2 linked regions of the Elephas maximus indicus genome follow. Each later gene encodes a partner of the first gene's protein in a complex. Links are inferred from orthologs where the notes say so. Each region holds a gene or a part of one and is shown in the gene's direction. Other genes may lie near its edges.

The links.
Region 2: the proteins of RAB1B (region 1) and TBC1D20 are in contact, whole or in part, in a crystal structure (PDB 4HLQ), measured with the Homo sapiens proteins. The link is inferred for Elephas maximus indicus from reciprocal best matches to the Homo sapiens genes RAB1B and TBC1D20. Residues at the interface, in NP_112243.1 of Homo sapiens: Ser17, Gly18, Ser36, Tyr37, Ile38, Ser39, Thr40, Ile41, Gly42, Val43, Asp44, Phe45, Gln60, Trp62, Ala65, Gly66, Gln67, Arg69, Phe70, Thr72, Ile73, Tyr77, Glu94; in NP_653229.1 of Homo sapiens: Gln97, Gln98, Leu101, Asp102, Arg104, Arg105, Leu107, Arg108, His141, Tyr142, Tyr143, Gln144, Gly145, His147, Asp148, Phe177, Met178, Asp179, Pro180, Thr181, Met182, Lys186, Val212, Ile215, Leu218, Ser219, Thr223, His227, Met272, Ala273.

What each region holds. Positions count from the first base shown.
Region 1 is NC_064825.1:129,422,113-129,425,712, forward strand, and holds the start of RAB1B (ras-related protein Rab-1B), read left to right. Parts: upstream 1-1,212; 5' UTR 1,213-1,308; coding exon 1,309-1,322; intron 1,323-2,942; coding exon 2,943-3,015; intron 3,016-3,285; coding exon 3,286-3,381; intron 3,382-3,494; coding exon 3,495-3,590; intron 3,591-3,600. UniProt on the Homo sapiens protein: The small GTPases Rab are key regulators of intracellular membrane trafficking, from the formation of transport vesicles to their fusion with membranes.
Region 2 is NC_064843.1:38,503,089-38,506,905, reverse strand, and holds the start of TBC1D20 (TBC1 domain family member 20), read left to right. Parts: upstream 1-878; 5' UTR 879-986; coding exon 987-1,056; intron 1,057-3,817. UniProt on the Homo sapiens protein: GTPase-activating protein (GAP) specific for Rab1 and Rab2 small GTPase families for which it can accelerate the intrinsic GTP hydrolysis rate by more than five orders of magnitude. Also shows GAP activity for RAB18 GTPase.

The sequences.
Region 1 (3,600 bases):
AATTATTGGCCGCCCCCCCACCCCCACCCCACTATTCCCGGGTACTGCCCGGGCTGCCCGCTCCTTGCCCTTCTCTAGTGGTACCGCCCAGGCCTTAATCACCCCCATTCCGCGCGGTGGTATCTCCCAGGCGCCACAGCTCGAGGGGCGGTGCCTCCCCAAGGGTTCCCTAGGTCTTCTCGAGCTCCCGGCTTCAGAGGGGCGGGCCTCCTCCGCCATCGCCCTGAGCCATAGCTAGGGGACCTCCCTGTCCTCTCACTGCCGGGCCCTGCCTCGCACCCCGGCCTTATGCACTGCCCCTCCTGCCCGGCCCCGCCCAGGCAGGCCTGACTCCGCCCCGGGCCCAGCCCACCGAGCCGTTCCGCCACGCCCCTCCCACACCTGCAGCTTCTCGCGAGGGGCTGCCACGGTTGGGAAGTGAGGTGGTCGCTCTTTATTTTCAGATATTGCTGTAGAAATAAAGACGGTTTGAATCTGAGCTGGGCTTGTTTGGGGGGCGAAGATTGAGGGTGGAGAGACGGGTCGGGAGAGGTCGCGTGTGAGTGGCAAGTGTGTGTGTGTGCGTGTTGTTCGCGTCCGGTACCCGGGCCGCTGGGACCCAAATATACTGCTCCTTGCCCGGAATTGTTTGGGGGCCTCAGATTCCGAATCCGGAAGTCTCCCAAGAAGGCAACCTCCATTTCTAGGGTTATAGAGAGCGGGGACTTTGAGCCCTGCCCCTTCTTAAGCTGTTCGACCTTGAACGAATTCTATGAGTCTCGATATTTCTCATCTATAAAATGTGGGTGATGACACTCTCCTCCTGGGGCTGCGCTGTGAGTTACGAGATCCCAGCACACGGAAAACTCTAGATGAATGAACATCATCTTTTGCCGGCACCCACTTTCTCATCTAATGGTCATGACCCTGGGAGCTAGGAGGGTAGGCATGACCGCCTCGGTCAGACGTGGGAAAGGAGAATGACCCTTAACCCTGGCCCTAAACTGAGTTTTCAGCGCTGGGATGCAGGCAAGCTCCCCCAGGCGCCGTCCTAAATCCCACGTACGTCTAGGGAGCGAACTACAAGCCCCAGAAGGCAGTGCGCCGGCGGTGCAGGGAGCGGGCTGGGAGGTGAGGGCCCTCCGTTTTACGCCTGTCGTACAATGTGGAAAACTACAAGTTCCAAGAAGCAGCGCGGCGAGGCCCCACTTGGGCGTATTTGCGCCTGCGCTCCGCGGGCGGGGCCTCTGGGGCGGAGCGGCCACCATCTTGGAACGGGAGGCGGAGCAGAGCCGACTGGGAGCGACCGAGCGGGCCGCCGCTGCCGCCATGAACCCCGAATAGTGAGTGAGCCCCGCCCGCGCCGTCCGGCGCAGCCTCGATTCCGAGTACGGGGCTGTACGCTTACCGGGGTTGTCCTGCCCGGGTCAGGACTGCGCGGCGCCCCCACATCCGGGTCTCTCTTCCGCTGACCCCCCCCCCTCACATCCGGGTTCTGCCCCTCCCCCCGGGTGCCCCCGAACCCCGGCTCGACACCCCCCGAGTCATTGCACCCAGCGCCCAAAGACGGCGACCCCGAGGGGCACTGCTTGGGGCCCGAGGCATGTGCTCTACCGGGCCTTAACGGTCAGGTGACCCCGCAGCCCCGATCTCTCCTGGCCTCAGTTTCCCCACCTGCGGCTTGAACGTGGCAGCGGCCTTGGTGCAGACAACGGTCTCAGCGTTTTGGGGCCTGTCACGATAGTCTCTGGTCTTGGTATAAACTCGAGCCCTTACGTTGGGCCTTAAGTCCCTCTGCCCTGCAGATCCAACAACACCGGAGGCCCCGAGGCAGCGCTCCGGGGGGGTTGTCACCTGGCCCCTCGCTTGGGCCGCACTGCCCTGCCGCCCCCGGCAGTCATTCTGTCCTGCCCTCCTCACCTTTGCACAGGCACCCTGCCGCCGTCGGCACACCTCTTCCCTTCGCTGTAACACTGAAGTTTACAGAAATGTGGCAGTTGCTTCCCCGCTTCGGTGGGATTCTTTGCTCCACGAACTCTCCTCACTTCTTGGTCACTCCCCCTAGGGGTAGCTGGGGTAGGTGGCCCACATCTCCTGGCCAGGACTTCGCACTGATAGTTTCCCCGGAGTATCAGTTATCATTGTCTTCCTCTTCTGCCACTTCCTTTTCTTCCTCCCGATCCAGGCCACAGGTTTCCGTGGGGCAGGGTGAAGCTCTGAGCTGGATTACAAGGGGGAACAGAGAAGCAAACCAGCAGGCTGGCAAAGAGACTTTGGAGTCTGACAGACCTGGTTCTAGTAGTATAGTTAACAGCTGTGTGACCTGGGGCAAGACTGCCCTTCTCCAGCTCTGGGTTTCTCCTTAGATGGCAATAACAGCACCCACTTCACTGGACTGACGTGAGGATTTGATGACATGGTGCATTTGAAGCTCTTAGCACAGGACCAGGCAAAGTAGGAACTCAGTGACTGTTAACTGCTGTTGCCATTGCTACTTGTTGGCCACTTCTGCTTGGTGGCTTCATACCAGGCTCTTTACGTAGGTAGTTATTTAGTGGGTTCTGGTCTGGGCTCTGGCTTCCACTTCTGCGGCCTCGCCTGCCAAGGCAGGCACACCACAGGGCATGCAGTGGGGTTCTCTAAGTAATCCCAATCAGACAGAACAATGAAATTTGTCAGGAATGAGTAGGATACCCAACTCTGTCGCTACTGATTGTGATCCTTGGCAAGTCAGGTCCCTCTCTGTGCCTTGGATTCCTTCTCTGTAAATTGGGATTTAGCCTCAGCACACTGAGAGCCTTTTGGGGTAGCTATATTATGTGGGGGACTAGAAGGAGGGTTGGGTGAGCGTCGTCGTCTTACAAACCAAGGCACACCCCCCAGTAAGGTTACAGTTGTGACTCCAGTATGTTGGTGGGTGGGCTCCCTGCCATCCTTCATGCCTTCCCATCCTCTCTCTCCAGTGACTACCTGTTTAAGCTGCTTTTGATTGGTGACTCGGGCGTGGGCAAGTCCTGCCTGCTCCTGCGGTTTGCTGTGAGTAAGAAGTCTCCTGTACCGTCCATCTGGGGTCCTGGCTGGCTGGCCAGGGGGAAGAAGGGATACCCTAGAACACAGCAGTTATGAGACCTGGGGGACCAAGGATGAAGTTGCAGGACCTGCTGGCAACACATCCAACAGGAAGGCGGCAGGGCTGGCAAAGTGGGGTGCTGAGAGCTGGGGCTTGGCAGTTAGGAGCTCAGCTGGGCAGGGAGCTGGAGGGAGGTTTTCCAGATGGGCCTCAGACCCGTTCACTGGCCCTTTCAGGATGACACATACACAGAGAGCTACATCAGCACCATTGGGGTGGACTTCAAGATCCGAACTATTGAGCTGGATGGCAAAACCATCAAACTTCAGATCGTGAGTGGTGTTCTTCCCATAGCCGCCATGTAGAGGCACTACTCTGGGAGGGGCATGGGGCTCTGGGTATGGAGTGAGGCTGACCCTGTCTCTCCTCCCCTCCTGTCATGAAGTGGGACACAGCCGGTCAGGAACGGTTCCGGACCATCACCTCCAGCTACTATCGGGGAGCCCATGGCATCATCGTGGTGTACGACGTCACCGACCAGGTACTGGCTT
Region 2 (3,817 bases), on another chromosome or scaffold:
TATTGTTGGAGATTGGGAAGGTGGAGCAGTTTTCTGACCTCAACGATATCAAAGGTACGACCGACTGGAGAGAAAGGAGTGTCATTTGAGATGAGGTCAAGGACTTGATAAACCAGAGTTCTATTTTAAATGGGTGGTCATTGCTTTGCACAACTCAAGGAGGAGGGCAATCTTCTATGTGAATGGCACCCCTTGGCGTTGTGGAGTACACAACCTGCAGAGCTGTATGCCATGGCCCTTCTAAACCCGGAAGTCGCCAGGTATGACAGGAGTAGGTGTGGTGAGGTGAAACAGGAGGTATAATCCTTGATAAGCAAAAATAATAGCTCATAATTGTGGGCCATTTATACGTTATACTATATACATACAAAACCAAAAAAAAAAAAAAAAAAACCCAAACCCGTCCAGTCTATTCCGACTCATAGCAACCCTATAAGGCAGAGTAGAATCGCCCCATAGAACCACTGGTAGATTTGAACTGCCGACCTTTTGGTTAGCAGCCGTAGCTCATAACAACTGAGCTACCAGGGTTTCATATACATACAGTATATACTATGAATCGAAGTAGACTCAACGGCAATGGGTTTGGGTTTTTTATGTCCTAAGCACTTTCCCAATAACTCTAACTTAAATACTGTTATTATCATCACCCCATTTGAAAGAGAAGGAAAGTAAAAGCAGTTAACACACCAGGTCAAGAGCCCACACTCTACACCTCAGACCCGCCTAACGCGCGGGCCCGGCGCCGGGCTCTCCCTCCCCCTGTTCAGGGAGCGTGCGCGCTTGCCCCGACCGTCGCCGCCTGCCCCCGCGCAGGGAGCGTCACGTGCAGGCGCAGGGGCGGAGCCCGCGCGGGGACGCTAGCGCGCCTGCGCACCGCTGGTCGACGCAGCCAAACCCACCCGGCGGCTCGGGGCAGCGCCCGCCGCGTCTCTCACGGCTCGGTCACCAGCCGGGGCTCGGGCCCGGGCCCGGGCCCCCGGGGCATGGCTCTCCGGAGTGCTCAGGGCGACGGGCCCGCCTCCAGCACCGGGGCCGGCGGCGCGGAGAAGGCAGGTACGGAAGCCGGCCGGGCGCCGAGGAGCGGCCTGCGGGGACGCCGTGTGGGCCAGGGGCGGCCGGCGGGGCCGGAGACAGCTGTGGGAGCAGTGGGCCTGAGGCCGGGCCGGTGTCGGAGGAGGCAGGGATCAGGAGGGCGGGGGAGGAGAAGAGGGCCTGGGGCTGGGGGACCAGGCGGAGGCTGAGGGGCCAGAGGAGCCGTGGCGACAGACTCGCGTCCCCAGTGGACAGGGCGGGCCGAGGCCCTGCGACCCTGTCTCGTTACATTTGGGAAGAAGCGGAGTCGGGTCTCCCTGCGAACTGAGACCAGGCCTCACCCCCTGGCCTGACTGTCCGGCCACGTCCGCAGACTTCTGGTGACGTCTCGCTCGCTGGAAGGCAGATTTCCCAAACTTCATTCACCTGTCAGCCTCTTGGTTTCCCTGTGACCTCTATTTTTAAAAATTAATTCACGTACCATAAAATTCGGCCTGTATTGTAAAGGGTGCAATTCAGTGATTGTTAGTACATTCGCAAGGTTGTGTAACCATCGTCACTAGTTAGTATCTAATTCCAGAACGTTTTCATCACCCCAAAAAGAAACTCGGTGCTCATTAGCAGTCACTGCCCATTCCCCAATCCCCCAGCCCCTGGCAACGATTAATCTACTTTCTCTCTCTATCGTGTGCCATCCATTTTAATATTAATTCTGTAAAAAGCTCTTCTGTCTCTTTTTTCCTTAGTTTATCCTAAGCAGTAGTTTTCATGAAGTCATGATTTCGTAGTGTACTATATTTTTTAATATGTCTTACATATGATAAATACATGACAATTAAGATTTTGAATACCCACCCCGTGTCAACAAAAATAATCTTTTATCTCTTGGGGAGGCATAAGGTAGCTTTTCTACTTCCTAGTCCTCTGATAAGTATTGCTCATAATAGAACCAACCACCTTTAAATGAAGCACCTGGTGTCACATCTGGGCTCATTTTCTGTTACTCCTTTTTGTCCTATTTTGATACTGGATGAAAGTGGAGCTGACTCCCCGGATAACATCTCTGGGCCCTTTAGCATCATAACCCTTTGCTGGTTGTTTGTGTGACATCCGGCCTCATAGCATAATAGTGCCCAAGAGGCAGGGATCTTGTGACCTGTTGCAGTGCAGCTATGCTTGGTCCTTCTAGGTTGCAAGACTTTACCCCCTGGTCCCTTTAATTTTGCTCCTCTGAACAGAAAGAATTTAGAAACGAAGTATTAAAAAAAAAAAAAAAGTAGTTTTTTTAAAATCAGATACTTCTTGGCAAAGTTACTAGAAGCCCTCCTTTGTAGAGTTTATGATCAGATTGATTTAGAATATTTTTCTCCATCGTTGGCCTAAAACAGTCTTTCTTGATGTGTGCTTACCTTTATGTTTCAGGTAGTTAATGAATCTCTGATAATTTGGGCACTATTTTGTAGAAACTTGTTAGTTGCTGATGAGTTGGCAGCAACTCATGGCGACCCCATGTAACAACAGAATGAAACATAGCCTGGTCCTGTGCCATCTTCAAGATCGTTGGTACGCTCAAGTCCATTGTTGTGGCCACTGTGTATCTTGAGTGCCTTCCAGTCTAAGGGGCTCATCTTCCAGCACTCTATTGGACGATATTTTGTTGAGATCCATAGAGTTTTCATTGTCTGATTTTCAGAAGTACATCACCAGGCCTGTCTTTCTCATCTAACTTCGTTTGGAAGCTCCAATGAAACCTGTTCACCAAGGGTGACCTTGCTGGTATTTGAAATACTAGTGACATGGCTTACAGTATCCTAGCAATACCTAAGCCACCACAGTATGACAACTTGACAGATCGGCGGTGGAGCAACCAATTAGAACCTCCAAAAATAGAGACTATTTTTTTTTTTTAATAGGAACCTTACCCAGGATAAGGATGAGGTTTTCCTCTCCCACTCCCTTTCTCTGGTACAGATATGAAGTTCAAGCATAAATTTTTAAGTTAATTTCCAGTGTCAGCATCAGGAGTTCAAGGGAGTGGGTTAGGGGGTGTTTGCCTAGAGGAATCACTCCCTCTGCCTCTGACTGGCTCTTTCATTGTTTTGATTAAGGCTAGCATTGCTTAGAATTTAACTTCTGCTTAAAACTGTAACGCTTTCTGAAAATGCAAGTTTAAACCAAATAGTATGGAATTTTGTACTCTCACAGAAGATTCCGTTATTAAGTGTGTAGATAATTGATCTAAGTCACTAATTTTTTTTTGGTGATAGGAAAACTTCTAGAGGAAGCATAGGTAGTGATCATCTTTACTCATTGTCCTTCCCCTGTATGTTAAGTTCCCCAAGCCAGATGCTTTTGGAGATACCTGTTGCTCTGAGAAGCAGGAAGCTTTACTTTGGCTGTATAGCAGAGTTGTGGGAAATTGGAGTCAACAACTGGGGCGCAGCCATCTTTATCTGAACTATTAAGAACTGCTGCTTCAGTGTCCTTTATTTAAGCGATCACTTTAATTGTGATCAGGCCAAAGCAGTGCCTGTATCATTTTTTTTTTCCTTTGTTGAATGAATTACTTTTTATTCATCAGAGTATTTAAAGCAGAATCTTGTCTTTTACAATCAGCTGTGGGCCTGTCATTTAATTCAGTCATTGTTATGGTATCCAAAACCTCTACTATGAAGGAATTTGGAAGGAATCAGCTTTGGAATATACCAAAACCCATTTCCATCGAGTCAATTCCGACTGATAGCGACACTACGGAGCAGAGTAGAACTGCCCCATAGGGTTT